Linked DNA regions of Tamandua tetradactyla. The protein of the gene in region 1 binds, or shares a complex with, the protein of each later gene. Links are inferred from orthologs where the notes say so. Each region holds a gene or a part of one and is shown in the gene's direction. Other genes may lie near its edges.

Region 1 (7,803 bases):
ATGAGCACAGATGTTTGAAGGTGGTATTTATTTACAGTTGGGATTTTCTGTGCGTGCGTATTTATTAACAGAGAAAGATGTTCACAGAATGCTGCTGCATGAAAATCCTGGCCACAGAACAGTGCGCAGGCATCCATTTAAAAATACATATGTGCAAAGACATAAAAGCAAAAGTCAGGGATGAGGAGTGAGGGATATTTAACTTTCTTTACCCTTAATTACCTTCTCAAAGTGTGACAGGGAAACAACACAATGAGCTAAATGCCCATTGTTGAGTATATGTGTATGCGTGTATGCATGTATTTGTGTGTATGTATCATGAATAGGATGGCAGATAAATAATTTCACTTGTATTCATAACAGCCCCACAATTCGTGTATGTAAATGATCAAAAGAGTAGTTGTTGATGTTGATGTGTTGACAATTCTAATAACATAGAATAATTAAAAATAAATTACTGACTTCTGTCTTCTCTAAGGGCTTCTTAGAATAAAATAAGTATTGTGAATCTACTAAAGTGGTAGTTTCTCCTAGTCACATGCTAATTCCTAAGCATTAAATCTTTTTGTTATAACAAACAAATCAAACACTCAGACAAAAATTCTTCATGAGTTAAGTTAGGGAGTTTGGAAAACCTGATATCAGATTGGTAGTACAGAGGCCACAATTGGAATGAAGGATTTGAAGCAGAAGAGAATAGGTTGGAGGATGGCAAATAATGATATGTTTAACCAATTCAAGTGGATCATGTGGATGTAAGTATGAAAGAAAGTGAAGTAAAAACCAGTGGAACTAGTGTCCTGGAGTCATAAGGCTAAATAAAACAGGTAATCTATAGACTCCAAGAATTGTTGTTTACTGGTATATCTCCAGTGCCTAGCATAATACGTGATACCATAGTGAATGCTTAATAATCACTGTGTGAATGAATGAATAAGTGAAAAACAAGTGGGCCACCGGAGAGATAGTGTCAGTGTATTGGGAAGTTGATTTTTTATATATGTCCTTTAACAGCCATATTAAAATGGCTCATGTTTCTGGCAGTCCAGATGTGAGGTATCATGACCAAAAAAGACCCTAGTAAGGAATAAATTAAAAGAAGCCATTCGACATACATGGAATGAATAAGAAGTTATCTTTGAGAATAGGTATAAAGGGTGTTTTTGCCATCCTTCTGACTGCATGTGGGGGTGGGTGGAGGGGCAAAAAATTATGATGCAATAAGGATCTGGGAATTTATAGAAGAGCATAAAGCAGAAGGATATCTGATTTTATGATGCTGAGTTTTAAGGATGATAGTGTTGATATGGCCTGTATCTGAAGGAGAAGCAGCACAGATATGTGACTCATTAATAGTAGCTGGACACCAGCTGATAGTAATGGAAACTTTAAGAACATATGATGGCATAAATATAGAGGATAGGCACAAGAGACAGCAGGAAAAGGACATGCTGTAAACTATAATTTAAAAGATAGAATGAGACCATTCAAAAGACTTGAATGTGTACCCAGGAGAGTTACAAAGAAAGGAAATTACCTGTAGAATTACAAGCACCTCACAGTTAAACAAAACTGAATATTGTAGCTTTTGTTTTGTCAAGAAAGAGCTTAATGATCTAGAGAAAATATATGCCAATAGAAATAAAATTGCTATCATAGAATACAAAATCTTAAAAGAGAGCAATGAACCAAAGTTTATTTTCTCCCCAAGTTGCTATAAGCCATTTCCAAGTGAAAGATTTATCAATAACCATATTGTAACCGTGCAGCCTCTATCTCACTATTGAATTATTTAAATACCAATTTCTTTTAATACATGTGAAAAAGCTGTTAAAAGCTGTATTTTTCAAATTTAGTGCACTGCCTTGTGAAGGATACTTCTATAAACAGAAAAGATATATTGGCTTTTTCATACATAATAGTGATAAGACTAGGATAACACAGAGCAATTTCCCTTCAAAATAATGAGCTTACCTGGGAGACTTAGCTATCCTTACCGGTCCTTATCAGGGGAAAAATAGATTTGCTGCAGTCAATTGTGTTGATTCAACATGTGTGAATTTTTAAAACTACACTTCTGTGTGCAAAGGAAAAGTATTAAAACAAACCACCTCACATCTATTTGGATTCTTTAAATGTTTGTAACAAATTTATTTTGCTACTTGAATGCTTTATATGAATTATATATAACTTAATCATTCAAGATTTCTCCAATTTAGGAGATAATTGCTGAGTTTTTTTTATATATATATAAATTAACCAAGTTCCTTTGAAGTTTGTAAACATAGTGTCTTTGACACTTTTTGATTTGGTAGCACCTTTGCTGCAGATAAAATGAGGGTAAAAGTGGGTGAAAAATAATATCATTCATTTATACTTGTACTGACTTGGTTATATATTAAATATAACCAAACTGAGGACGTTTAAAAGAAATTCTGCGTGTGTCCTTCTCTAGGTAAGCAAATCAATAAACGAAATCATTTTTGCTTCAGGTGGTATATTCATAATAAAAGGTACATCAAATGCATGTGTTAAGGTGACACTTTGTACATCAGAAATTTTCCTGACCATAAATGATTGCCAGATCATTGCAAATAAAGGGCCATCTTGAAGTCTCTACTCCTGGTGAAGGAAGTATTGTGTCTAGGCCTCTAAAATTTTCTCCTCTAATCCTTAAACAACATTGTGAAATTTATTTTCTGTTCTCCACTGTTATAAGATTTCTTTAAAAAATTTACATCCAGTCTTTGGATACAGGGAAGACTGTTGAAGAGGCATCCCAAATTGGCACCACCAGATTTTTACCACAGTAAATCAGAGAACAAGGATCATTTGAATATTTTGCTTATATTTACATATCGGTGTCAAAAGTTGCTAACTCCAATTATGTAAAATAAAATTAATTACTGCAGCTCACTGCAAAGCCCATATTCAAACCCAATATTCAGAGCCTGACAGACTTCAAATACCAAGCATATCTGAAAGCCAATAGCTTGATTTCATTGGGAATTGGAGGGCCAGGCAGCCCACATGGATTAAGAAAAACACAGAAACAGAGGAGGACACTCAAACGTGGGGAGACAGATTCAAAACAGCTTTGCCTTGAGCTTCTGCATTGTCATTTTTTCCCAGTGAAAATTGTGATTACGCACATTTATGCATCCTGCACCCTCCTATACCCATGTGAACACATTCTTGCTTTTTTGTGTTCTGGTAGGTACTGACTGGCATTCTTGTTCTCAGTTAGTTTTCTTCCTCTAGTTCCTTGAAGCAGCAGAGAACAAGTCTAGCTTCTTGGTGTTAGAATTGCTGTTTTCCCAGCAGTGCGTTTCCACAACTGTATGCTAGCTGGAAAGCCCTGTCCGTTTCCTTCCCTGCCTTTAGAAATTCTTCCAGTCAGTCCTCAGAATCAGCGTGGTTGACTATAACCAGCTTAGACTTTGTTGTAAGACAGGGCTTGTTTTAAATTTCAAGTTTGCTTAAGTGGGCTTGGTCAAGTTGTGGCCTGCTTTGAGGCTGGGATTTCTTGTGCATCCATACAAAGGAGAAATATTGCCTCTCCAAGGACTGTTACAAAGAATAAATAAAAGATCATTGCTAAGTGGCCAAAACCTAGTTTATATTAAAAAATCGTTTCTCTCCTTCCTTTAAGTCTTAATTCAGGTGTTAATCAAGTGAGAAGTCTCACTGTGGACTCGGGTAATAAGGTACCACCCCCGCAGCTTTTATAATGTCTCTTCTCACATTAAACTGCACTCATTTGCTATGGATGTCCTGAAGGACATATAACAGGCCCTCCTTCAATGGCTACTGAGTTCTGGAAGGTAGTGATGATGGTCACAGGAAGGTGAAAGATGTAGCAGGATGCATATTATACAAAATTGTGAAACTTAAACGACAAGCGGGTGTCTCAACTCCCTCTGCAAAGTAATTTGATAAGGGATTTACTTCAGAGTAGCTAGAAGTTTCGGAATAATTATAGCATTCAATAAAAAAAAGTGGAGGAGGCTAAAGTGGAGGAGGCTATGCCCCATTCTCTCTGGACCCTTTACTCTTGGCAAGGGTGAAATTGAGAGATTAATTTGGGAATACCATCAGAATAGAGAGATGTCTATGAGCGCCATATTAAATTAACTCAGGAGAAAACCCTGGGGGAGCTATATGTATTTCATCTGGATTAGACAGTACACTGGCACAGTCCACATTTAAATGGATATAGCTCCTGGTATATGTACACATACCTCAGCATTTCCTAATAACACATGTGCTCTAAGAGGCAAGCATATTTTACTCTAGCTGGGCTTGACCAGTGCTGTCTTAACTGGGATCTACCAGCAGGTGCACAGGTGGCCTGTTGGATTGGGAAGGAAAAAAAATGAAAGCTTGTGTGAATATTAATTTTTACCACATTCTTTTAAAATTTTGATTTGCATGTGTTTTATTATATGCAATATAGTAGAACATGTATATATACTCTATAAATGCATAAACATGTATAGGGGACTCCAACTTTGTTTGTTGATAAGGGTAAAGATGGTTCGAATGACTAATACAGCTTTCTCTTTCCTTTCCTAGACTGTTGTTTTGTACTTACTAGCCTAAGCTAACTTCAGCATGCTCAAAAGGAAGCAGAGCTCAAGGGTGGAAGCCCAGCCAGTTACAGACTTTGGTCCTGATGAATCTCTCTCAGACAACGCTGACATACTCTGGATTAACAAGCCAGTAAGCTTCTTTTTTGAAGTATAGAGGAGCACATGCTCATATAAGGAAAATTTGATTCATATAATTCACAGATCATGTACCCTTGGCTTTGAAATGTCTCTTTGAGCTGTGGTAGAGTAGGATGAGATTTGGGGTCTGGGGGCTGAGGAAAATTCAAATGAAATTGAGGTGTCACTGTGAGTTACTCATATGGGAACATATGTGAGGCACTCTGGCTCCCCCCTCCCCCATCTGCACACCCTGTCCCCAGGATCGCATGCCAGATAGAGAATATACCACACCTCAGGCTGGTCCAAAGCTGGAGGTCAAGGTGAGTAGCCTGTTCTTCACAAACTTTCTTTACTCATAGCTTGCAACCTGCATAAAAATCTGTGAGAAAATAATCAAAAGTGTGGAATTTAAGGTCTCCTTCTGAGGTGCAGGTTTGACTACAAATAAAGGTTAATGAATTAGCGAATAGTGTCAATGAAGAACTTTGTGACTTTCTCTGATGAGAAACTGGGTGAGAACTTGAGGGGAGGATCTGCTATAACAGGCATCGTTGTAGACTAGACAGTATAACAACCAGAACTAAGCTGAAATGGCACATTAATGGGTCTTGGAAACTCGGCTCTAAATACAAAGTAGGAGCAACTTAATTATTAAACTCATAGTGGAGGCTGAGGTAATGAAATGACAGAACTGCTACCATTCTCAGTCTCTTTCCCCAACTATGAGAAATGCTTCATCTCCCTGCCCTTTCTGAATCTTTCATCCTCCAATCTTTCTTCTAGATTACTTCCCCACTTGACTGAGATTTCCTTCTACAACCCAGATTTTCTCACATTACCTTCTGCTGTACAATCAGTGAAACATCCCTATTGCTACATTGTAACATTAAATGTGTTAGTATTGCATTCAAGACTCTTTTTCTCTGGCTCTCAGCTGTCCGGTGACTGCCCCTTTCCCTTATCTGTACAGTCTATGCTTGAGTTTCCTCAGGTGACTTCTTATTCCTCCAAGTTCTCAAGCTGTTTGCATTTGCTCCTTTTGCTCATGCTGTTCCCTTGCCTGGAAAGCCCTTTCCAAGCTCCTCTGATGAGTGAAATCCTCTTCATCCAATAAGGCCTTCTCAGATGTTACCACAGCCTCAAGTCTCTTTGAAAGCCTCCTCACTTCACCCTCCTCACCACAGATAAAATGAACTTTTTTCCTCTGCAGCAATTATTCTATTTTATATTTGCCTATATGTAATATATATATATATATATATATATACATATATATTAAAAAAAATATATACACACACACATATACATACACGTATTTTTTATTAGACTATGAAATAGTAATGGGTCAGAACTGTGTTGTTTCCATTTCTATGTCCTCAGAGTCCCACATAATTTCTGACACATAGTATAGGCCTTCATTTATAGAAAATTGAAAGATATAGAGAATAAAGGGATCAGAGCCATCAGAAAATAGGACCTTCCACAAATCCTTTCTTAATAACTTCATCTCCAATCCTCACTTGTCCTGTAATGACCGACTGGTTCCATGTTTGGTTAAATCCTCACATGGAGCACTATTCTCTGCAGTTTCCCTTTCTGGAAGCCCCAAATTTTCCAGAACATCAATTTTTGGTTTCTTTATACCCAAAAGTTCAGTTGTTAGGTTATCCCTTTTTTGTCACATTTCACTAAAAACTGCAAGGAGAAACCAGGCTTCATTTTCTACATTCAGTTTAGAAATCTCCTCAGGCAAGCATCCCAGATCATTGAATTCAAATTCTCCCTTCCATCCAGCACCAGCATTTAATTTTGCCAGATTCTCTGCCACCTTAAAACAAGGGTCACCCTCCTTCCAATCTGCAGTGACACATTCCATATTTCTGTCGAAGGCTTCAATGGAAGTATCTTTAGAGTTCATATTTCTACCAACTATCTCTTCAAAGCAATCTAGACTTTCTCTATCAACCCCCTCATGATTCTTCCAGAATCCCTCCCTTATCCATTTAAAAAGTTGTTCCAACATGTTTGGTATTTGCAAACACAGCAGCACCCCACTCCTCTGGTATCAAAATCTGTTTTAGTTTGCTAATGCTTCTAGAATGCAATACACTGGAAATCGGCTGGCTTTTATAAAGGGGATTTATTTAGTTACAAACTTACAATTCTTCAGAGGAAAGGCAACTAGCTTTCCACTGGGTTTCTCTGTCACATGGAAAGGCATATGGCAATGTCTGCTGGTCTTCCCTCCCAGCTTCTGGGTTCAAATGGCTTTCCCCAAGGCAATTCCTTTCTGCATCTCCCAATGTCTGGGTCTAAGCTCTCTTCTTACCACTCTGTTTTTAGCTCCCAGCTAATTAAATCAAATTTCACTCATTGTGAAAGGCACTCCCCTTAGCCGACCACAGATGTAATTAGCTATAGATGAATTTCACATCCTGATGATTTAAGTCCATTGCGGCAGAGCAACTGGACACCATCCCCTCACCAGTTTGGCACATGAACCTCAATATTACCCCATATATATAGCTTTCTGAGAACTTCTGAAGAAAATTGTATTCTAGCTGTAGCCTATGAGTCACTTACTAAAACATTAATGCTTAATTTTTAATTCTTCACATTTTAAAACTGGATATTATAGAGAAGAATTCACCTTTGAAGTTCATTCCTATAATTAGATCCATTATGTTGGAAACCCTCATGGTGCTAAATTCATACACTGATTTTTTATTTAGAATAAAGAAAAACATTTTTAATTGTGAAATATAACAAATATGCAGAAAAGTTTTAACTTTCAAAGCACAGTTTAACAAGTAGTTATAGGCAAATTTCAAATTATGTTATGTTCCACAATTTCAGGTATTTCCTTCTAGCAGTTCTAATATACTAGACTAAAAATACATATCAATGTAATGTGTCAGTAGCCATAATCTAGTCAGTTACACCTCCTCCATCTCATTTGATCCTTCTCCCATTGTTCAGGTATATTGGGGCAGTGACCATTCTAACTTCTTCATGTTAAAAAGGGCACACTGATGTTTTTTGAAGCTCTTTCATACTGCATAAAAAACATCAACTCTTAAAATCGATTAAA
Region 2 (7,658 bases), about 6.7 Mb from region 1:
TGGTTTTAAATAATAACTGTATTTTCCCCCTTAACTTTGTATCAGGTAGAGAATTTAAAGAGATTTCAATATTTTATAGACTATTAAAATATGATTACTGATTCAATATATAGTTTTGTTTTTCTTTTAGTTTCTCGTGTATTGGAATAGCTAGAGGGAAATAACTGAAATTTTTCATCTGTGACCCAGTAGCCTGGATCTTGGATAAAAATTGTATAACAATAATAGCTTTTGTCATGTGACTGATGCTCCCTTTGTTCAGTGTATGGGTAGATGAGTAATAATATTAAGACAAATATATATACATATTATATATGTACATATAATGGGGGGATAAAGCATTTTGATTTTTTGGGTGTTCTTTTAATTTTCATTTATTTATTTGCAGTAATGAAAATGTGTACAATCCACAACCATAAGATGATGCTCTGAACCATTGATTGTATACTTTGAATGGTGTATATGGTGTGTGAATATATCTCAATAAAATTGCATTAAAAGAGAGAAAACACTATGGTACTATAAATATGTTATATTCTATAACAAGAAATGTATGACTTGGTGCTTATTCTAGATGAAGAGTTCTGCATTTAGTTCCTTGAATATACAAAGAAGATATAGCCTCATCCCTGATGCCAGAAATTCCCCCATGGATATATAAATTAGGGAACTTCTACTTTGAGACATTGAGTAGTTCTCAACAGGGGATGATTTTGCCCCCAAAAAATATTTGGAAATGCCTGGAGACATGTTTGGTTGTCAGAACTTGAGAGAAATGTGTTACTGTTAACCAGTGAGGAGAGCCTAGGGATACTTCTAAACAAGCTGCAAAGTAAAGGAGAGCCCCTACAACAAAGAATTATCCAACTGGAAATTTCAGTGGTGGAGAGGATGAGTAATCCTCTCAGAGAACTTGTAAATAGTTTGAGCCCAACAGCTCTGTTGGTCCTTAGCTTCAGAAGACAGCTTTGGGACTTGTACAAATCTATGAGACAACAGCAGGATCACTCAACAGAGAGCACAACTCCAGGCCAGAGGACACAAAATTTAAAGCTGAAAATAAATCTGGAGTGAGGTTGAGGGAATGTAGTTAGTATTAATAAAAAATAAAAGGTATACTGGCCACAGGAAAAGAAAGACTGGATATATATTTTAAATACAACATGATATTCCATTTCAGCAGAACTGTCTGCCACTTTCTTTTTTAAAGAAAACCTAAAGTGTTTATATTTAACCAATTATAGTTCTGTTAATTATAGTTCTGCTAATAAATGAACAAAATTAGGTGTCACCTAAGCTGAAAGTCCAAATGAAAGGTATAGAAGTAGATGGAGTCCAAAAGGAAGAAGGGTCGGGTGGGGGCAAGGGTCGTGGTACAAATTTGGGGAGTGGACGTCCATTTAGATATTTCAGACTTGGAACATTTACAATCATCATTTTGCTCTCCTTCCTCCTTCTGGAGTAAGAGAAGGGCTCTGTTTTTTTTCAAGTTTAAAAGCCAGTCTCTCTCACATGATCCCTGAGTCCTGAAAGTAGGTCTAAATCTGCCCTAAGCTTTTAGCAGAAGTTTCCCCAGCCCAGGGACACCCTTTGGGTTTCCCAGCCATAGGTTTTCTGAGGTTTCTATCTTGCATGCAGGAGAGAAAGAGAAATATAAATCTTTCTAGGCAGCATCTTTCAGTTAGTAAGATACAGCGTGAAGAAAGGCAAAGATGAAGGCGAATAAGAGAAAGAAGAGAGAGAGAGACAGAGATAGAGAAACTTGAACAAGTGAAAAAAAAAAAGGTTTAATTTTTAAAAAGTTCCAAACCTGAACTTATAAAAAGAAAAGCATAGGACTCTTGGACTTAATCTGTGTGACATCAGAAAGCCAAACTTCCAAACAAAAGGGGGAGAGAATGATTTCAGAATTTATAAAACAATGTGTTTTTACTTTTATGTTCTGCAAAATCTTTTTTTATTGAGAAATAGAAGTGTAAATTTCTGACATTATCTTCCAAAACCAATTGTTTACACAATAGAAGACGCCACTCTTTCTACTCATTTTGTCTACATGTGGTCTTTCAGATGAAGATCATATTTCAATTTGATTTGACTGAAGAGGACTGAAGTTTTAAATTTAAGAGAATATCATGAGGAGAGGGTGTAAAACAAAATAAAATATCTTCCAAGATCTTAAGCAACTTGCCCAAAGGATATCTTTATACAAATCGTCGTCCAAAAATACATATTATTCAATATCAAAGTAATTTAAATAATCAAAAGATAAAATTCCAAGATTATCTTCTCAGTTTAAGCAGGGTTCAGATACATAGCTTTCAATAAGTTTCTCACGTTTTACTTTCACTTTTTTGCTGATTTAAAGATGCTTGAAGGTAAGAGTAAACTCGCCATAGAAAGTATATCTGGTATCTTTCCATAGACAGTATATCTGGTAGTTTCTAGAGCTTTTATAAAAGCAATGAACTTCAACACAATTAAAGCCAATGTACCAGAATCGGATAGTTATGCGAAGATACTCTGAAACATTGCTGTGACATACTTATAGAACAGCCACCAAACTGGACCCATCTTTCCTGGCCCAGTTTAATACATATAGTTTTTAGGAAAAGAGGATTAACAATAAAATTAGGATGTATCCTGTTACGCCACAGAAGAGACTGGTTGGTTGTATCCTGATATTGTATTTTGCCACTTCCCATTTAAAAAAAAAAATGCTGTTTTTCTCCATTCCAACACCCGCAGTCCCTGACAAAGAAAGGTGAATAGGGGCGATGCACCCCTTTGGTTTCTAAAACGAGGGCACTGTAGCACTGCGGGTCTGAATGTGCACCCGGGCAGTGTATGAGGATCATTAGTAGCCGGGAAAGATCGACACAGCCATGTGCCCCGTGCAGCAAACTGCAGGTCATAAGCAGCCACCAGAGAGAGCTCTTGACAGCGCAGCGCTCCTTCTGGAGCCAGTACAGAAAACTCCCGGCACCAGCCCAACATTCCAGCTCGGCCGGCTGCCGGTGAAGGTGGGGGATGGGGGCCAGAGTGGGTAGGGTTTTTGATTAAAATGATGTTGCAGTTTGCTTTCAACAATAGCCGGTACGCGCCGGGATCGAGGGGACCCCAGATTTTTCCAAGCTTGTTGGTTGCTTTGCTTCTCGGTAAGCCCAGAGCCAACGCTAAGGGGCACCAGAGACCCGGACTGCGGTGACTGACTCCCAGGCAGCCAAACTCAGTGTTGCGGAAGTCCTGGGGAACAGAAAAACCCACCTCGGTGGGGGCTGGGATGCAGACAGTCGACTTGGGGGTGGGTTGGGTGGTTTCGCAAGAGCTTGGGGCGCTCCAAATCGAAGGAGGAATCCCCTGAGGTTAGGACCCAGAACTGGAAGAGCAGTGCAAGGAAGTGACTCGAGGTAGTGGAGGTTTTCGTGATTTTCCCAAAGACTATGAGTCTTCTACTTTCGAATGTGAAAACATAGACAGATACGTAACTGTAATAGATGCATATGGCTACACACACATACACGCACATATATATCGTCCTTTCCTTGCAATAAAATAAGTTAACACCGTTAGCAATTGATCTCCAGGAGTCCCGAGGCACATTCAAAGAGACCAAATGTCGCCAGGTCTCTCCTCTAGCTAGTGTTTACTCCCCTGATTCCCACCCTTTAAATTGAAGTAGACCATTCACTAAGACGGCAAAACACAGGCCCTGCCCCGCCCCCCCCCCCCCCCACCAGCGACCCCTACACACCTGCCCGAAACTCATACTTTTCCCAGGGGTGGAGAGGAGCGGGAGTGGTGAGATGCTGAAGAAATTAAACCGCAACCCCAATCATACAGTCCACCTGCTGACTTTTTTTTTCCGTGAGAAAAGAAAAAAAAAAGGGGGGGGGAGGTAGGGGGAGGCAGAAAGAGAAAGAGCAGGAACCTGCACCCAGGGTGCCCAGGTTGGGGGACACTCCCCAAAGTCGGCCCCCACCTCCTCCTCCTTCGCCCTCCTCCTTGGGCCGAATCTGGTGCCAATGCGCCAGGATGGAGCGATCTCGGAGCGGGAGGAGATGACGCAAAAGCCAGCGCTCCCCACCCCCCCGCCCCCCAAAAAAGTGTTTCTTCAGGACGAAGATGGCGGCAACTTAGCCCGGGGACTGAAGATGACTGTGATTCTCGAGAGACCCAGCCCAGGCGATTCGGCCCCGAGGTCCGGGGGAGACGGCGCGCGGCGGCCGCCGCAGCAGCCCAGCAGCGGCGTCAGCAGCGGGAGCCCGGGAGGCGGCGGCGGCGGCCGGCAGACCTGCGGCAGCGGCGGCGGCGGCGGCGGCGGCGGCGGCAGCAGCAGTTAGAGCGCGGGGTGGGGGGTGGGGGGGAGGGAGAGCCTTGCCGGCGGCTGCTGCCCGGGCTCTGGACTAGGGGAGAGAGAGAGAGAAGTAGGAGGAGGAGGAGGAGAAGAAAAAGAAGAAGGAAAAGAAGGAGGAGGAAGAGGAGGAGAAGAAGAGGAGGAGGAGGAGGAGGCGAGGAGGAGGAGGGGAGGCGCTCCGGTCGCCGTCAGTGGGCAGCGAAGACGCGGCATGCCCCTGGCGGGGGAGAGCGGGCTGCCCTCAGCCGGACCATGGGGACCCGCGCTCTGACCATGCCTGGGTGAGAGGAGCAGCGCCAGCCACCCCGCCACCTCCACCATCACCTCCCGCACTCAGCCTCACCACCGGCCACCAGCACCAGCCCCCTCCGCCTCTTCTCTCATTCTCTCTCTCTCTCCCTCTCTCTCTCTCTCTCTCTCCCTCTCTCTCTGCATTATTGTTTCTCCCTCTACAGAGAATGGGGTCTGCTGATGATTAGGTCGGAAGCAAGTCAGATTTTCCTTCAAAGCCTGGTGATATTTCTGTAGGCAAAAGAAGAGAGAAAAAAAAGAGAGGGAGAGAGTGTGAGAGGGAGAGAGAGAGAGAGGGAGAGAGAGAGAGAGAGAGAGAGAGAGAGAAGAAACGGGAGGAGGGGATAAGGAAATTAAACCCTTTAAGTCAATGCATATTGTGGTGACACCGGCACAGGAGCCCTCACGGTGGAGTCGGCCAGGGCTGTGCGTTCCCAAAATATGACCAGGGGTGCTTGGATGTGTCGGCAGTATGACGACGGCTTAAAAATTTGGTTGGCAGCACCCCGGGAGAACGAGAAACCGTTCACCGATTCAGAGAGGGCTCAGAAATGGCGACTGTCTCTGGCATCTCTCTTGTTTTTCACAGTCCTGCTCTCTGATCACTTGTGGTTCTGCGCCGAGGCCAAATTGACTCGGACCCGGGACAAGGAGCAGCAGCAGCAGCATCATCAGCAGCAGCAACAGCAGCAGCAGCAACGGCAGCAGCAGCAACAGCAGCAGCAGAGGCAGCGGCAGCAGCAGCAGCAGCAGCAGAGGCAGCGGCAGCAGGAGCCCTCCTGGCCGGCGCTCCTGGCGAGCATGGGGGAGTCCTCGCCCGCCGCCCAGGCACACAGACTCCTCTCCGCCTCCTCGTCCCCCACCCTGCCCCCCTCCCCCGGCGACGGTGGCGGCGGCGGCGGCGGCGGCGGCGGCAAGGGCAACCGAGGCAAAAACAACCGGAGCAAGGCTCTTTTTCTAGGAAACTCTGCCAGACCCGTGTGGCGCCTGGAGACTTGTTACCCCCAGGGCGCCTCTTCGGGCCAGTGCTTCACGGTTGAAGATGCGGACGCTGTGTGCGCCAGGAACTGGAGTCGGGGGGTGGCTGCCTTGGGGGAGGAGCAGCAGGTGAGAGGGAAGCCTCCAACTCCACTCTGGAACTTGTCGGATTTTTACCTTTCGTTTTGTAATTCCTACACACTTTGGGAGTTGTTTTCGGGGTTGTCCAGTCCCAACACTTTGAACTGCAGTCTGGATGTGGTGCTCAAGGAGGACGGCGAGATGACCGCCTGCCGGCAGTGCGTCGAGGCTTACCAAGACTACGACCACCACGCTCAGGAGAAATACGAAGAGTTTGAGAGTGTGCTCCATAAGTATTTACAGTCGGAGGAGTACTCGGTGAAATCGTGTCCTGAGGACTGTAAGGTAGGAACAGTGGATCGCCACCCCACCCCACCCCCTTCCTGCTCTTTTCTATCTTTGCTTGCTCGGTTTTGGCTCTGGTTTTGTTACTTCAGTTGCTACCGTGATTTTAAGATCTTAAACTTCTGCTTGTTGTCAGGGACCTGGTGGATTGATTTCTTTTCTCGGTAACCCCTGGAAGATCGGAGAAGACCCCAGTCTTCTGAAATAATAAAGCTGCTACTATAACTTTCTCTTAAAACCAGGCTAAATAGACTTTAAGTCTGTTTCCTTCTTTTTTGTTTTTAAATATGGGATTTGCACTCGTCAGGAGGACAGCGATAGGAATGCATACTAATGGCGACAGTTAAAGTTAGAAGACAGACAGGCCTGTATGGTCTGACAAATGGATTTGGACACATGAACTCTGTTATAGTGACATCCTTAAGTTGAAATGAGGGTCAGGAAGTGTTTGTAGCTGTTCATGGAGGGGGAAAAAGCATTCTATTGTTTTACAGGGGTAGTTCTACTTGTTTGGAAAATCTGGGGGCCTACCTGAGTTTATTAGTCTCTTTAATTTTCTTTTTTTTTCCTTGAAATTTTCTATAATTATTGACCTGAGAATAACTACTAGTGGAGAGGTGTAATTAGGAACTTAGTGATTGTTTATCAGTGCCAGTTTATTTATCAGGCATCTTATGTAATTAGCTTGAATTTTCAGATTCTCACTAGAATTTGCAAATGACAAAGCCTCCATGTTAAGAATGAAAATTTACCAAACTCTTCACTGACTTGCATTTTAGTCACCCTCTGTTGGATATACTTGAGAATAAAATTCTTACTGATTGGCAAGGGAGAAGTGTATGCAGGTTTCCTAAGAAATGGCCAATGCCACTATCCCTGCTAGCTTTAAGGGGAAAGCCGCTGTTCGTGGTGCTGAAATGCGATTGCCCAGGAGCTCTGGTGAAGCTCAAGATACTGCAGTGACCTTTAGTAGGGGAGCAACGAAGACAGAATCAGAGTAAGCCTAAATGTGCCTAAATGTTTCTAATATTTACAATAAGAAATATCATAAAAGTAGAATAGTTTTCAAAATATGTACTACACAACACTCTCTCTCTCCTTTTTTCTTCCCTACTTTCCCAACTCCTCACACAAATGGAGCAACTCTGCCTCTTTGCCTGACTTGCTTTTGCTAGGAAAGTGCAATCAAGGGCAGGATGGATAAAAGGATCTTGTGATATTTTGACAAGATAACTGAGCTAATGGATATTTATTAAAAATTAAAATAGTTCAAGGGCCAGTTTTTACTTTGGGTTGATTAGTTGTGCATTTGATAATTATGCTTATCTCAAGTTAACCCTGTTTTGTCAACATTCTTTAAAAGGAGATGTAGAGATCCTCTTTGAAAGTAGTAATGCTGTGGTTATAACATTAATTTAGAATGCTACTTCATTTGATAAATGGATCTTAAACTTAATGCATTTTTCCCATATCACTATAATTCATGTCAGATTAGAATTTATCTTAATGGTAGAAATTAAAAATGAATGACTAGTGCATTTACTGAATAATATTATTGTGACAAGATGTGTTGCATTGAAAGCATAAAGATAAGGAAAATACTGTGCCT
Region 3 (8,103 bases), on another chromosome or scaffold:
GTAAAATCAAGACCCTCCTTGAATGGGTAGAGTAACATCTCCATCTAATCAAAAGACCACACCCACAATTGGGTGTGTCAATCTCCATGGAAGTAATCTAGCCAAAATGTCACATCCGCAACTGGATTTGTCACATCTCCATGGAAACAATACAATAAAAGTTTCTATAACTTTTATATAAGAAACTATATAAATAAAAAATAAAGCCAGATCTAGGGCTCATTCGATTAGGTCAGTCCAACCAAAGATAAAACTTAAAGTCAGTTGATTCAGGAATTTAATAACAGACCTAAAAAATAGGTCTGGCCCCACAAAATTGCATCAGGATTATAACATGGCTTTTGGGGGGTACATAATAGTTTCACATCGGCACGCATGGTAATCTTGATTCTCCACTAAAATGTTTGTTTAAAAACTGATTTTGACAGTGTTTATTACAGATGTCTTTTGCTCCCAGATGATTCGTTGCCTAAAGGGTTTTCTGGAATGGGAAGCATCATGATGTAGCATCTTCTTCATTTTCTACCCTCGGCAGAGCAATTCTTTCATTTGTGCTTGAGCAACTTCCATTTATGGAACTCATGGCAATTCTTCCAAACTCTCACTAATATACTCAATGTTATAGCAGAAGGTTGGGCAGGAACTTTGAAATTGAACTTCACAGTTCCTTCCTCACTTAACTATATAACATCAGGCAGGTTTTGCAATCTTTCCCTGTCTTGGTTTTCTTTTTAAATGGTGATAACATGTTTTTGTGTGAAGATCAGTTGCATTTAAAACAGATCTTGGAACCATAAAGTGATCAATAAACATTATCTGCTCTTAATTAACTTTATTCCACTCCCATCAAGTATCACATTAAGAAAATTACTTTATCAATTACTTCACAACTTAAGCAGGCCATTAAGCCTGAACTCTCAAAATTCTCATCCTTCTGTTTTCCTTACAGACCTAGCTTTTACCATTCTTCCTTTTAATCTCCCATGCAGAAAAAGAGGAGTCAGTCTTTCACTCAAAAATGACCTGTTCACCTGTTACACCAGATATAATTTCCAGAATCTTGTTCATTAATTATCCCCTTTATCAAATGTCCTCAATATTTACTTCTTCAGTACTTCTTTGATTCTGACCCATAAATATGTTCAAGTCTTTTATTTAAAAAAAAAATTGTCCTTATATGGCATCTGCTCTTGCTCCTTGTATTTCCCTTTCTTTTATTTTCAGACAACATTGACTGATTTTTAATCAACATTTGCTGGGTTTCCAACTCCACTCTCCACTTATTCTTCAGTCTTCTAGATATTATTTCTATGCTCATAACTGAAATGAAACTACTCTTTGTTAAATTGATCAACTCCTAAGAGTTGATGCAATGAGCTTTTTTCCAGTCTTTTTCTTACTTGAACTTTAATGTGATCATTATTTCCATCCTGAATCTTTCTTTTTTTTTCCCCCCCCTCTTGGCTTCTTAGACCTCTCTGATCTCTTCTTTTTGGTGTGTGTGTTTTGGTTATTTATTCCTGTGTAAAAAAATATCACAGATTTAGTTGTTTAAAGCAAAGTTATTTTCTCACAGTTTCTTTGGGTTAAGAGTCTGTGAAAACAGCTTCAGTTTTCACAAAGCTGAAATCAAGGTGTCAGCTGGGGCAGCAGTCCTATCTGAGGTTTGGTGTCCTCTTCCAAGCTCATTCAGATTGTTGGCCAGATTCAGTTCTGCAGCTGTTGATTTCATGGCAGCTTTCATTTCTTAAAGGCCAGCAAGGGAACATCTGCTGCAACTTCAAATTTTTCTGATTACTTCTATCTCTAGCCTCTAGAGCCAGATCTAGGGCTCATTCGATTAGGTCAGTCCAACCAAAGATAAAACTTAAAGTCAGTTGATTCAGGAATTTAATAACATCTGTAAAATTTTTTCACAGCAGCTTCTAGATTAGTATTTGATTGAATAACTGGGAGAAGATGTATATATCAGGGGATGAGAATCTTGAGGGCCATCTTAGAATTCTTCCTATACCAGTATCCTGTGCTATTTGTTGTCTACTGTTTTAGTTTCCCAGCTGCTAAAAAAAAAGCCATACAGTGGTTGCCTTGAACAGTGGCAATTTGTTGTATTGAGTTAGGAGAAGTCCCAAATTGAGCCCTCAGCAAGGTGATGCTTTCTCCCAACAATCTCCCAAACAAAGGGATTTCTGCCAACAATCCTTAGTCCTTGGCTTTTCTGTCACATGGCAGTGTACAAGGTGTCTTCTCTTTGCCTTCTCAGGTCTCTTGACTTCCACTTCTGGCTCTTCCCTGCAGCTTTTTCTCCATCTGACTTTCACTTTGTTTATAAATGGCTTCAGTAACCCAGATTAAAGCCCAACCTGATTCAGTTGGACCATACCTTAACTGAAACAACATCTTGAAAGAGATCTTGTTTACCATGGGTTCACACCCACCAGAATGTGGAACAAAACCAAGAGCATGAGAACATGTCCAAACTGGGTCCAAACCCAATCCATCACACCTATCATCAGCATCTTTTGTGACACTAAAAGTTGGTGTTTCCTGTACTCCAAAACTTGCGTCCTTTCTTTTCTATTTCCATATATTCATCTGCATTATTTTATCTGCTTTCATGAGTTCTCTACTTTTTTTATTGAATATCAACCACAAAACCCATGTATTTTACCTAGTTAACTGTTCTGAACTCACTGTCTACATTTCTAACTGCCTTTTAATGATGTCCGTTGCGATTTCCAGTAGGTACGCAAGGAAAATTTCTTAATGCTCCTGTACACAAACATAAAAAACAGCATGATTTTCTCTGTTAACTTTTTCTCTCTTTGAATGAGATCACCATTTACTGAGTTGCTTAAAACAGAAAACTTGGATCTTACGTTGATATTTATTGAAGGCTTACTATAGATCAGGGACTCTCTTAATTTCTTTACATGTATTGAAATTTAATCCTCACATCTCTATGGGAAAGGTGCTATTATTAGGGAGGTTTGCCTCAGAGTTTTTAACTTTACCAGGTTATTTTATCTAGTAAGTAGTAGGGCTGGATTCAAAACTGTATGGCTCAAGACCCAGGCTCTTAGCCACTTTGCTGTTAATTCTCTTTCCGCATGCCCATTTGACCATCAAATCATATTGTATATCTGCAGTGTCTTTCAAACTCATCTTATCTCTATCTCTGTTATCATGGCTTTGGTTCAGGATCTCATGGAATTTTCCTGTAATCTCCAGACTGGGGTTCTCATCTATACTCTTGCCTGTTTCAAACAACTTTTACATTGCTGTCGCATCAATCACACTTAAATGCAAATGAAGTTTTTAACTTCCATGCTTCTGTGCATCCAAACCTCTTTATCTGTCATTCTAAACCTTTCTCCGTCTGGTCCCTGACCATCTTTTCTGCATTTTCTCTTTTTCTGTAACTGAACCTGCAGTCATCTCTCCCATGGTACTCTTTTCTTTATATCGTTGTCTTCTCTTCAATACTGTGAGTTCATTATAAGCAAGAGTCAGTATAGTGTAGTGCTTGGTATATAAATAGGCTCAATAAATATAAATTAAATAAACCATGCTTAGAATCTATTTTTCTTTGTTTCAAGACCAATATTTTAATATTAGTATTAAAGGATGATTTCTTAAAAGTAAGTGAAGAATTTATTTCTGGCTGAAGTACCAATATATGCCATAAAAGTCTTACTATATGGTATAGATCCACATTTGGTAAGTCATACAGAAAGTATAAATGGAATTTGATTCTTTGTTTCATAGGTTATACCAATATCTTTGCTCAAAAAGGAGTGTGATTATGTTTTGTTTGTTTGCTTTTGAGTAGTTGGGTCTACAACCATGGTTTTCTATTCAGATGGCTTCACCCCAGCCTTCTCCATGTTTTACTATTGGATAATACAGCTGACAGTTAGCCAACTATAAACTCTATAGGAATTTTTACTATGACAACTGAGGGAAAATAACCCATATCACTAGGGTAAACAGGATCACTGAAATATATTTATGCACAGTAGTAAAACACATTTTCTCAAAATGCTATTTGAATGTCCTTCCTCAAGGTGCATTTCACTGATACTACAATCGCTTAGTTTGGAACTTTTCATTACCACCTTGACAAAACAAGGTCAATTTCTTGAGGCTATCATTAAAAAGTAAATTCTCACATCAGAGAACTTTCAAGTTTCTCTATCTTGCCAGTCTTGCTTCATTTCATCGTTTACACTTTAAAAAATTTCGTGCACTCTTCCTGCTAAACCCGGAAAGTGGACTCCTAATCTTGCTAGAGGTGCGAATGATGCCAGGGTTAGTGACTGCTCTGCAGTTCCCCAAAGCTCCTCCTCCCCAGACCGTGACAGTTCTTCTGATGCTGAGGTTGGGAAACAGGACAGGGTACTGTCCCGGGGTGCAGCCCGGAAGGGTGAAGCCTAATCCTGGCGGCTGAAGAGGCCGTACAGGGGACCGGGATCAGCGTGCGATGCAGAGCGTTGACCCCCTCGGTCATCCCGCGGCTGCTGAACCTACCCCGGGCTCGCCTTTGGGCCGGGGCTGCCCGGCGAAGGCCGCTGTCCACAGTGGGAGGTGCTGAAAGCAAGGAGCGGGAGCGGGGGCGGCGAGGCGGACAGCTCCTCCGAGTGCCTCCCTCCCCGCTCCGCGGCTCCTCCAGCCCTCCCCTCCTCCCGCAGCCATGTTCCACGCACGGGGAGGTGCGGGGGAAGGGGAGAGGGACGGGGGATCAGGGCGGAGATAGTCCGCTCTGCCTCAGGGAAGGAGGGGATGAGAGTTGGGGGGAGCACCGGGAGGAGGAGGAGGAGGCGGCGGCGGCTAGCGCGGAGCCAGCTCTGGGTCCTGCAATAGGACTCCCGGGAGCCACCATCATGGTGAAGAGGAAGAGCTCCGAGGGCCAGGAGCAGGACAGCGGCCGCGGCATCCCCTTGCCTATCCAGACCTTCCTGTGGCGGCAAACCAGGTGAGGGGCGCAGAGAGCGGGCCACGGGCCGCCCTGGGTTGGGGGCGCTCCTGGGGCCGCCTGGGTCGCCGCCGCCGCCGCTGCCGCCGCTGCTGAGGCCGCATCACAGCCTGCAGCTCCCTCTCTGGAGCTGGAAAACAAGCCCTCGGACCCTCAGAAAAACACGCATTTTAAAAATATTTCAATGAAGTTTGAAGATAAGCAGATTGGCAGTTGTCGAATAAATATACACATCATTTAGGGGGTGGGAGGGCAGAGAGCCTAGGAAGAGGGGGAGGGAACTAAGGAAGATAATTATGACTGCCTGTGCTCCGGCGTCCAATTCCCCCTCCATCTCCTGTTCTAATTCCAGCCCAGTGACCTGTTGTTTTTCCAGCTTCTGTTTGGCAAATATCTGCTATGCCCACTTGTTAACCATTTTTGCTCGGATTCAGCCAGTATAACCTTCCTGGTTAGAGCCCCTGAGATAATTTTTTTTCCTTGCAAAGGTTTGAAATCTATTCCAATAAATAGGAAACAATTTTTCCTTTATTAATGTTGTGATTTAGAGATTTATCAGATAGGAAATTAGATTCTGGAAATCATGACCCATAAGTCGTGTTCATTTTTCAGTTTTAAATATGACTGTACACATGTGTAATGTATCACTTCTAACCACTGGAAATTTTGAATCTGATTAGGCAAAGTCTTCAGTATAAGTGTGGATACAGAAAACCATAGGGATTTGCATGTTATTTCATATATATAATTACATGTGAAAAAGCAAATGTTCTCAGCCGTTCAACATCTACTCATTAACAAGCTATGGGAAAACATGAAATTTGAGTCTCATTGCACCACACCTAGTCAATGAAAAAAAGTCAGGGATTTCTTAAAACTATTTTACCTGTATTTATAACAAATATCTCTTAATTTTTCAGTGCATTTTTGAGGCCTAAACTGGGGAAGCAATATGAAGCCTCCTGTGTGGTATGTGATGTTTACCATTTAATGGTTAATTTCAGATACTATGTAGTAGCTTGAACTAAAAAATGATGTTAAATCATACTGCTTGTGAATATTAATTCACTCAGCGATTATTATTAAACTCCCACTGTGTGCAAAGCATATTTTTAAGTCCAGAGGACAGAGCAGTGATCAAAATAAACATCGAGTTTATATTCCAGGGGGAAGTGGGGATAGGCCATAAACATAAAGTGAAATACGTTGTAAGCCAGGTGGTGATAAGAGCTCTGGAGAAATATTAAGCCAGAAAGGAGATTAGGGATCATTATGGGGTGAGGATTTCATTTTATAAGGGATGTGTGGGTAAAGTCTACGTGGTAATGTGACTGCTAGACAAAGATCTGAAGGAAGGAAGGGAGGGACGTGCAAAGGGAAGGAGCATAAACTAGAGTGGGGAGTAAGTGATGGGATGGGGAGGGAGGCAGTAGTAAAAGAGGATTTAGAGTGATAACAGAGCTGGGCAGTGGAGTACCTTGCCAGCAAGTATAGCAGTCACATCCTTAACTAACAAAGTTAAGACTGCTATATAATAAAAATTCATATGAAGAGTGCCTTTGAATACTCAAAAGAGTAATATGAAGTATTGAACTTGTATGTCTTTCATGTGTTGTCCAATCCTGAAAATAGAAAATAAAAAGTAATTATGATAATAATGCTATTAATATTTATTCAAAGTAGAGTGCACTTGTCCTGAGTTCCAAAGTAAACATGTCCCTGAAAACTCACATTTCACAGTGAGAAATTAGTCAAGAAATCAACAAGAAAATTTAAAATGGACTTTTCACAGACTTCATTAAAATTGAGAACTCATCTAAAGGTCTTTACATTGCATATATTATAGCCTAAAAGTAGATACTTACACATTTAGATATTGGCATGCATATTTGCAAATTGTTACATAGATACGTCTCTGGTTAGGAGTTCTGAAATACATTAGGGCCAGCCACAAAATATGGTGGAAATTCTGAAATGTGGTAGGGCCATAAAATATGGTGAAAGCTAACTGGAGTGTTAAACTCTCCCCCTCTCTCTCTTTCTCTCTCTCTCTCTAAGTAGGAATTAGTTTTTTTATTGTCTGCCTCTCAGACTTCTCAGAAATTTTTTCAAATACAACTTTCTTATAAGGAACTTTTAATGTAAGTTATTGTTGTATTTAGTTCAAGTCAGAATAATTTGATAATTTGATGTTTCATTCTCCGAGACTATCTCTGGCCAGGATAGAAGAATCAACAAACCAGAAAAGCAAAATTGCTTATTTTATTTCCTTCCTTCCTCCCTTCCTTCATTCCTCCCTTCCTATCTTCTTTCCTCCCTCCTTCCCTACCTCTCCCTCTCCTCTTCCTCTTTCAACAGATATATTGAGTGTCTTCTATGGTGCCAGACTTTAGGTAAGGAGTGTCTTGTAACAGGCCATTGTTGAAGACACAGGTTAAATCAAAGACCACAAAATCAGATTTTTAAAAGAGTTGTATCTTAGTTAACACCTGTTGAATATTGACATAAATTCTGGCCCTCTAGACACTTTAGCAAAAGGTTAGTAACTTCACTTTTATCTGCAGGTGTGATAACCCCTTTGGATGACTCAGCAATATTTTAGGAAATATTATACTCAAAATCTCATGAAGTTAAGTGTGGTATTGTACTTTTTGCCAGAGGAAGCTTATTTTGAAGGAAACAAAAATTGTCTAATAATTCAAGCCATATACATTAGATCAAAACCTGTAAATCGATAGTAGGAAATTATTACTACCCACTGATTTGCATGTTGATATATACAGTGAAATACAATATGAACACACTCTAAAGAACTTGTCTAGTGATTTGCATCTTTTGAGGTATATAGTACCTTGATGTCCACTTCTCCACCAATGAAAATCTCTTATTCCTTATTTTACATGCTTTTGTTTTGTTTTTGTTTTTGTTTTTGTATCTGCAGTCCTTTGAACGAGTGTTGGTAGAAAACAAACTGCATGGCCTCTCTCCAGCCCTTTCCGAAGCCATCCAGAGCATTTCGAGATGGGAGCTGGTACAAGCTGCCTTGCCTCATGTCCTCCACTGCACTGCAACCCTGCTTTCAAATAGGAACAAACTAGGTTTGTGCTTCTGAATTATTTCCTCGTGGT
Region 4 (7,958 bases), on another chromosome or scaffold:
ATGCTCTGAGTAGTCAGAAAAAAAGGAGATACTGGGATTGTCTGGAGTTGGTTAAAGGCTTTATTAATAGTGTACTCTCCAAATGGGCCTTGAAGGATTAAGGGATTAAAGTTTTCAAGGAAAAAGGGTGGGGCTAGTGAATTAACCATGCATTTGACTTGTGATTTCCAAAAAAACACAAAAAACAATAAAACAGATTTAGTTCAATATTTCATCTGGTTATTATGATGTTGCTTAATGAATTATTGGAAACCAATGACAAATGGGGAAAGTATTAACATTTAATGGCATAACTATATAAATGTAGCTTGGTGGAAAAGCCTGGTTTATAGCCAGTTAAAATATCACTTACTAGCTTTGCGCCTTTGGGTATGTCATTTACTCTTTCGCGTTTTGGTTTATTCAACTGTAATTGACAATGATAATAACCACCTGGCGAAGTTATTGTGAGGATTAAAAGTAATGTATATAGAGCACCTGGTACTTAGTAGGCATTCAATATATATTGTTACTATTCACATTTAATGATATGTACAATACTGGTGTGTAAAGAGAAATTCCACATGGCGATTTCTCAATTGTTATCAAAAGCCTTAAAATGAATATTTCCTGTTTGACTCAGCAATTCCTCAGCTAAAAATTTATTCTAAGGAAATAATTAACTATGTTTGCACATCCTTGAAAGGAAACTCTTTGCAGCATGAATTAGAATAGTGAAAAATAACCTAAAACAAGGATAATACACCAAAATGTTAATTATGGTCGTTTCTGAGTAATAGGTCTTTAGATGATTTTTATTTATTTGTAAGCACAAAAGCATTGTGCTTACAAAAGCTTTTACATTTATTATATTAAGCATACATAAATACATTTTTAAAGAGAGGAATAGGTTGCTGTTAAAATATTGAGTGGCAGGAAAATGCTTAAAATTTCAAGAAAAAATTTAAAACTTATGTACTATATGATCCCAATTTTACTAAAGTAGTTTTATATCTATGCCTGAAATGAATGAGAATTTTGTTTTTGTGGCTCTTTCAAAATGTACCAAAGCTTCTAAAAGATGGTGGGGGTAGGATGGATAGTGAAATAGTGGAAACAAAGATTTTACTTCTGTCTAATCTGGATAAGAGTCATCACTGTCTTAGAACCCCTTTTTTATTCTTCATTTTTATCAGTGTTAACCTTTTGCATTCTTGGCTACTTTTACAAAGAACCAAAGTTTTAATCACTGCTTAAAACCATTCTCTTCCTCCCTGCCTCTTTTCCTTTTGTCTTTAATAGGATGAACTCAACAAATTTAGTACTCACCAGACACTGGGTATATACAGTGTGAACAAAAGACATGATTATTGGAGCTCACTGTCTACTTGGGAGAGATAGTAAGCATCCACCCAAATAAATATATAATTACAAATTGTGCTAATTAATATAAAAGAAATGTCAGAGGAAAAATTGACATTGAGGGCTAGGTGGGGGCTAGGGGATCAGTTTATGACTGAGAAGTCAGCAAAGACCCCTCTGAGGTAATGACATTTAAATCCAACCCTGAAGCTTATATTATGATTATCCCCTTTTTAGAGATGAGAAAAACGTAAGTGGAGATAGAACCAAGACTTTCGTCCAAAACTGTTTGATTTCAGATCTCATACTCTTAACTCTTATTCATCCTTTTATAAAAATGCCTATATGATGGCTTCTGTTTTCTTAAGGTACAAGGAAGGAGGTGGGCATGGGGGAGTTTGAAGAGCCTGGAGAAGTAGTGAAATAGTGATTGAAGAGAGTGGAAGAAGTTTTCTAAAGAAATGTAGCTTTAGGGTCAATTGGGGTTAGAGATCATTTGTTTATCTCCATCCTGCCCAGTTAACTGAGTTTCTGCGGCAATATTCTGCTATTATGGTTGTTTGGTGCAAACGATAAGAACTCTGTGCTGCCATGAGGGTGCCATGTGGGCTTATTAACCAGGAAATAAGCATCTCTTGTGCACCAGATTAAAATGCAAATGAATTATAGTCACATCCTCAGTACAATTACAAAGTACTCTTTGTCAGGCCCTTTCTGGCTATTGTCAGAGTTGAAAACAGCAAAGTTAAATCATGACTTCCATTTAGCTGCATTCATCAATGCTCAGAGGAGCGTGAACATTTCTTCCTACCTGTTCTATAAATTGTCTTTCACAATTACTTACCACTTTCTTTCTTCTTCTCTCACCCCACTTTCTTTCTTCCTTTTTTTCCCATCTTCATTCGTTAATTATTTTTAGAGCACCTACTGGTGTCTGGCACTGGTAAGGATTAAAAGATCCCACAATTTGGCGTTGGGGACAGATATGTGTATGTACAAAAACAAAAACCAAGTGATAACTACTATTATTTAAGCATTAATTCATTTACTCATTTATCCTACAAGTATACTGAGCACCCACTAAGCCCCAGGCAGTTTGTTAAGCTTGGAATAGAGACATGAGTAAGATGCAATTTCTGCCTTCAAGAAATTTACAGTCTGGTATAGAAAAATGAAGAGGTAAGTAAACAAGCAAAGACAATATAATGTGAAGTTTGTAAAAAAAATATTAAAAGATTTCAAAGAAGGAAGTGACTGTAGCCTGTGCTTTCTCTTGATGTTTGGATATATTGAAAGGAGCTATTGTTGAATTTAACAAAATGAACCATAAAGAGAACACTCATTTATTCATTCATTCATTCATTATACAACCTTTTGAATGCTTGCTATTTTTGTTGTGTAGTGACAATTTCCTACCTCTTGAGCTATGAGCAAGTCAGTGAGTTATGGGATGTGTTAATTTTCTCCTCACTTGAGCTTATTTTCCACACATTGCATTTCCATTGGTATTTCTGAAATACTCTGCAGAAATCTACTGAATAATGAAGCCTGAGAAAAGTTACAGTAAGAAAGCATTACTGTGAAGGTGGATGGGCAGAAAGCACATGTCTCAGATGTTTGAAACTGGGATCTATGTAATAAGATGGGTGTTCCTTATAATGTGATTTAAAAAAACCATTAGTAGCTGATTAAAAACACTGAGATGAGAATGGATTTTTATAGATGACATACTTAAAAACATTTTAAAGCATTACCTATTTATACCTTATCTTGGGAAAAAATTTATTTACAACCAAACACTTTTAGGGTTATTTGAGACAATGGATATAAACTTGTTGCTTTCTTCAGAGCTGGTGGACCATACAAACCCAAGGTATTATTATCTGCAATCTAAATGTAATTTTTGGGGAAACTGCAAAACATATTATGGAAATAGTAAAAGAGAGAAAAGGCAAATTTGCTATATGGTGTATATGGGATTTAGAATCAATGATTAACCTAATCACAGCTGAAAATTGCCACACTGCTTTGATGTCATGGAATAAAACTCCATTATCTCCATATTAAACTCATTTCAGAATTGTGTTCTGAGAACTCCGAACTGGGTGTCAGGGGATCTAAGTTCTAGACCTAGTTCTGCTGCTGATTACCTGTGTGCCTCGTTTTCCCCATCTTTAAAATGAAGTGGTGGACGGTGCAATGGTGACTCAGTGGCAGAATTCTCACCTGCCATGCCAGAGGTCTGGGTTTGGTTCCCAGTGCCTGCCCATGCAAAAACAAACAAACAAACAAAGAAGTGGTTGTGGGAAAAGGTCTCTAAGATCCTCCCAGTTCTGATATCTCATCATTTTGTGATTCTACGTCCCACACCTATCAAAAGCATTTTGACTTTAAGTTGCTTAAAGCAGCATTTCAGTTAGAATTCATCCAGAAGCTTATTTCCATTGGGAACAACAAGGCCTTGCTTCTCCAGGACTTGATATATCTTCTGTTAACTGCTGACAGTGAGCCATACTACCTAAAAGGCTCTCTTGGTAGCCTTAAAGATTGAAAGGACAAGTGGACAGTGTTGAGAACTCTGTGGAAGAGGAGACCAGAGAGACGTTGATCATCATGGCTCCTTGGGATTTGCAAAGAGGAATGACTAGAACTGGGCCATTCACCACAGCCAGGTCAAAAGTCAGGTCAGGAATGTGGACAATGCTGGTGACTACAGGTAGGTCTAGGAGGGTAAATAAGTCTGTTTAGTCCCTCCTGAATCTTGTGATGATCTGAGCATCTGAGCTCAGAAGGCTCTTAGGAAGTTTCCTATTTTAAGAAATTCTTTGGCAGAAAAATGTGACATTCATTTTTTGTATTTTTATTATCCACACAATCATTGTATTCTTACTTAATATTAGCCAAGTTATTCTACTCTTAACATACTTTCACAATTTAAGCATCAACTAAACACTTTCATGATCATTTATTGAGTTAAAAATCTGCTTTCAACTGATGCCATTGTGCAATGGCCTCATTTTTTTAAATAGTATTTTTAGTCTGTTGCTGAAAGATCTTGGAAATTTCTTCTTCAGTTTTAGTTAACCAATATTAAGTATAATTCTCTGCTGGCAGAGATTTTTATCTATTAATACTTTGCTAATAATAAGTTAATGTGGGGATGATAATAAAATGATTTAGAGCACTGCTTTCTTGAGTGATAAAAAAGTAATGGATACTGTGTGAAGAGGATATTAACCCATATAACTCAAAATAATTTTGTGGGCTGAATACACTTATAAAAAATTTAAAGTCTTTTGTAATTGTTTCTATCATGGAATTCTAGTAAAATTTACATATTTTCCTTAAAATAAGCATTAAAATCCAATATTTGATCATTGAAAAAGAATAACTGTATGCCTAATACATATTACAAGATAATTCTCCTTTTTTTTTTATTTTGCTTTTATCTAGTTGCTTCTAAGATCCGGTACTTGCAAGAATATCATAACCGGGTTCTTCACAACATTTATCCTGTCCCTTCAGGAACAGATATTGCAAACACTCTGAAATACTTTTCTCAGACCTTGTTAAGGTAAGCTTTAAAATATCCTCTACTTTGAAAGAATTATTAGGTAGTACTGCTAAACTTATTGGGGCCTAAATTTGTATTGAATTGAAAGTTTTTAAGGGCCTTAGGTTTTCTAGTGCTCTGCCAGAAGAGTCTGGACTCAATTCTCTGGGTGTATATAGCATATTGGATCATAGGCTTGATTGAAAATAATGGGTTGCATGGCTATTGCCTGTTTTTCTCAGTTGAACAAATTTTCAAGAGATTTATAAAATGATAAATTGATAAGTTTGACACTAAAATAGAATGTGGTTCAAAGGAGAACCTTCATGGTTTAAAACTAAGAGTAAGAAATACCTTTGGTCTTCAGGAAAATCAGAATTAGCACTTTAGGCTCATCACTTGTATTTCCTATTTCTTGAAGTATAATGTATGGCAATAACAATTATTTTTATTCTGTGTAACTCTTTAGAGGATAAAGAAACAAAAGCATGGGAGCTCTTTTGATATTGTCTGCTTTTACCATAAGGTAGAGAGAGAAGAGGGCCCTATTTGCTTCACACTTCTCATTAGGAAAAACGAGCAGGCGATGAATCTGAAGTCTCAATTGCTTGGGAAATAACGTTGAAGAAAAAAGGACACTTCACTTTCCATAAAATCCTAAGTCTTGGTCTCCTGCATTACCATGATCTTCTTACTCCAAATCTGATTTTGGAAACATATAAGTTAACTTGAACTCTACTCTTTCTTTTAGCAATATCACAGCAAAAAAGTTCATAAAGCAAGTATTATTAGGAAATGAATGATTGTAGTGGGGCTGGATTTTTCCAGTGGTTTAAAACTTTGCCACAGTCAGGCTGAAGGCTTTGTAGAAAGAAGCTGCACATGGTCAAGCCTTTTCGGATCTGCTGCCTCAGTTTTCTTGTTATTCTTTAAACTTTCTTTTCTTCTTTAGAATTCTCTTTGTCCATTTCTGTTAAAAGGATTCTGGCAATCAGATTTACAAATTTCAAACTTGCGAAGTAAATGTAGGACCCTGTGAAAGGATATTCCCTTCCTTTCAAATTGCATTGGAAAAATGAATCCAATTTTTGTCATTATAATCAGAAAAGTTTATAAACCAAGGCATCTAATTCTGTTCTCTTGAATTCTTCTTTCATGTTTAAGGTCAGTCTTCCCCAAAGGTTTTCCTTTATTACAAATTCTGAAAGTTTTCAAAGTGAGGGATACTTCGTTGGGAAGCAGATTATGAATTCCATTTGCAAAGAAACCATGGCATCCTAGTTGGCACTTCGAATCTTACTGCCTAGGCTTAGTTATTGTGCCAAAGAGTTAAGAAATTTAGAATACTGAAGTCATGTTTGCAAGATGAAGATTCCATTTTCTTAAGCAATAGGTCATTGGAATATGGTCATGGGTGATAGTATTTTAATGATGAAACTGGTATTAAGGTAGTATGTTTCAGTGGCCTATCGGAAAAGATTTTATGCATTTGAGCAGAGTCCATTTTCAAAGGGAGAAAAATTCAACAACTACTACTAATGATATCATTATTATATGATTATTATATTATGAAGTGATTAGTATATTTCAAGTATTGTTCTAAGCACTTTCCATGAGTCATCTCATTTAGTCCCTTGTAATAATTCTATAAGCTCTTTATTATAGCCACTTTTATGAAACGAAGGTACAGAATGATTAACTTTCTCAAAGTTACATATCTCATAAGTGTTGGAACCAGGATTCAACCCTGGTAGGCCTAATCCATAACACTTGCTCTCAACAATTTAGCTATACTGCTTCTTTTTAGTACTACTATTTATCATACTCAAGGCATACTTTTAGCAAAAATCTTGTTTGGCCATCGAGAATTCTGGCATTGATTATGAGTCCATGGTATAGTTTCAGCTCTCTTTGAAATTAGAGGAAGAAAGGCAGTGCTTAGCCCAAAAGATTTGCTACCTTTTAGAAAGTTGAACTGTACATGAGATCTTGTGGACAGCGTATAGTTCCTAGAGGGTTAGTGCTATCTCCTACTCAGCAGTTAATTGTGTATGGAGTATCAGAGCAGGTTGAGAGCCTATAATGAAGGACACATACCCACACAGACACATAAATTATATTTCGAGAGTGGAAGGAAGAAAACACTAAGTAATGCAACGTCTGGGGCTGAATCAAATGCATTTTTTTCTTCTTTTTCTCTACTCCCAGCTGTTTTTTTTAATCCTTTAATTCCCTACAAATTTAGAATTTAAAACTATTGTTCTGTATCTTGGACCAAGTTACAATCACTTTTATTTTTGATGAATGTAATCTATAGAGAGTCATATTTGTGTATCTTCATTTTATTTATGCAATTAGTTTAAGCCAAATAAGATGATCTATGTAGTTGAGGTCCAAGATTATTGACAGTTAGATTTTGTGCACCAAATGAAATGGTTACTTTTGCATTTTATTTTTCAAGCTTCCATTCAATTTTTTTTCTTCTTTTGACATTCAGTTTTATACTTTTAATTTTGAAATACTTTCAAACTTATGGGACAGGTGCAAAAATAATACAAATCCCAAACAGAGAACTCCAACATACCCCTACCCCCAGATACCACATCCACCAGTTTTAATATTTTTCCACATTTGCCCTATCATTCAGTCTACTCATTGGTCTGATGATCCATCTGTCTATCTATTCATCTATCTGCCTGTCTGAATATCAGTCCATTTTTCGAACATTTGAGGGTAGGTTGTATACATCATGGTACTCGAACACTTAATACTGCCATATATGTTTCCTAAGAACAAGAATATTTACTTATGTATCCACTTTAAGTGCAGTTATCAAGGTGAAGCAATTTAGCACTGATATGAAGCTAACAGTGCATATTCTAATTTTTTCAGACATCCTGATAATCCTTTTGAGACTTCTCACCTCCCTTTTTAGAGCCCATCCAAGATCATGTATTTGCCTTCAACTTGTCATTGTCTCTTTTGTTGCCCTTCCTTCCTTTTCTCCTTTCTTTCATTTTAAATTGTGGGACTATATGTACAATATAAACTTTCCCATCTCAAC

Evidence for each region.
Region 2: the proteins of NALCN (region 1) and NALF1 are in contact, whole or in part, in a cryo-EM structure (PDB 7CM3), measured with the Homo sapiens proteins. The link is inferred for Tamandua tetradactyla from reciprocal best matches to the Homo sapiens genes NALCN and NALF1. Residues at the interface, in NP_001337678.1 of Homo sapiens: Cys207, Val209, Asn220, Leu222, Ala223, Ile224, Pro225, Thr227, Tyr237, Pro240, Phe243, Tyr406, Glu409, Phe909, Ala1044, Lys1045, Asn1047, Pro1049, Arg1054, Ile1060, Arg1062, Ile1063, Asn1064, Val1065, Ser1066, Lys1069, Lys1080, Lys1081, Gly1083, Phe1084; in NP_001073865.1 of Homo sapiens: Lys278, Glu281, Phe282, Val285, His287, Lys288, Tyr289, Leu290, Gln291, Glu294, Tyr295, Ser296, Val297, Lys298, Ser299, Tyr308, Trp311, Leu312, Gln315, Leu335, Gln338, Thr339, Cys341, Phe343, Ile344, Leu345, Pro346, Asp347, Asn348, Asp349.
Region 3: the proteins of NALCN (region 1) and UNC80 are in contact, whole or in part, in a cryo-EM structure (PDB 7SX3), measured with the Homo sapiens proteins. The link is inferred for Tamandua tetradactyla from reciprocal best matches to the Homo sapiens genes NALCN and UNC80. Residues at the interface, in NP_001337678.1 of Homo sapiens: Asn639, Met643, Val644, Ile646, Lys648, Leu649, Pro650, Phe653, Val655, Pro656, Lys657, Ile658, Arg659, Glu660, Phe662, Met663, Lys664, Gln665, Phe666, Ile667, Arg669, Val711, Ser713, Arg715, Ala716, Arg717, Leu719, Lys722, Glu723, Ala725; in NP_115893.1 of Homo sapiens: Lys1979, Asn2004, Glu2005, Cys2006, Asp2007, Leu2128, Arg2129, Leu2130, Pro2131, Pro2134, Arg2135, Ile2138, Asp2139, Phe2142, Phe2145, Ser2146, Glu2179, Asp2184, Glu2185, Met2187, Leu2188, Asn2191, Asn2194, Ile2198, Leu2199, Glu2202, Ser2226, Leu2227, Ser2228, Gln2231.
Region 4: the proteins of NALCN (region 1) and UNC79 are in contact, whole or in part, in a cryo-EM structure (PDB 7SX3), measured with the Homo sapiens proteins. The link is inferred for Tamandua tetradactyla from reciprocal best matches to the Homo sapiens genes NALCN and UNC79. Residues at the interface, in NP_001337678.1 of Homo sapiens: Gln349, Met350, Phe351, His352, Glu353, Gly358, Trp359, Gln360, Leu361, Phe712, Ser713, Ile714, Arg717; in NP_001333147.1 of Homo sapiens: Cys861, Gln862, Ile865, Glu968, Pro969, Asp970, Phe1020, Gln1022, Pro2088, Asp2089, Ala2092, Pro2093, Leu2095, Leu2096, Met2099, Leu2139, Pro2141, Asn2142, Gly2143, Ile2144, Gln2147, Leu2148, Ser2151.

What each region holds. Positions count from the first base shown.
Region 1 is NC_135330.1:170,714,746-170,722,548, reverse strand, and holds the start of NALCN (sodium leak channel NALCN), read left to right. Parts: upstream 1-4,590; 5' UTR 4,591-4,614; coding exon 4,615-4,722; intron 4,723-7,803. UniProt on the Homo sapiens protein: Voltage-gated ion channel responsible for the resting Na(+) permeability that controls neuronal excitability. NALCN channel functions as a multi-protein complex, which consists at least of NALCN, NALF1, UNC79 and UNC80.
Region 2 is NC_135330.1:177,385,599-177,393,256, reverse strand, and holds the start of NALF1 (NALCN channel auxiliary factor 1), read left to right. Parts: upstream 1-4,367; 5' UTR 4,368-5,086; coding exon 5,087-6,049; intron 6,050-7,658. UniProt on the Homo sapiens protein: Auxillary component of the NALCN sodium channel complex, a channel that regulates the resting membrane potential and controls neuronal excitability.
Region 3 is NC_135329.1:185,114,339-185,122,441, forward strand, and holds the start of UNC80 (protein unc-80 homolog), read left to right. Parts: upstream 1-4,883; coding exon 4,884-4,975; intron 4,976-5,895; coding exon 5,896-5,944; intron 5,945-7,916; coding exon 7,917-8,073; intron 8,074-8,103. UniProt on the Homo sapiens protein: Auxiliary subunit of the NALCN sodium channel complex, a voltage-gated ion channel responsible for the resting Na(+) permeability that controls neuronal excitability.
Region 4 is NC_135338.1:54,433,871-54,441,828, forward strand, and holds the start of UNC79 (protein unc-79 homolog), read left to right. Parts: upstream 1-4,794; 5' UTR 4,795-4,915; intron 4,916-7,958. UniProt on the Homo sapiens protein: Auxiliary subunit of the NALCN sodium channel complex, a voltage-gated ion channel responsible for the resting Na(+) permeability that controls neuronal excitability.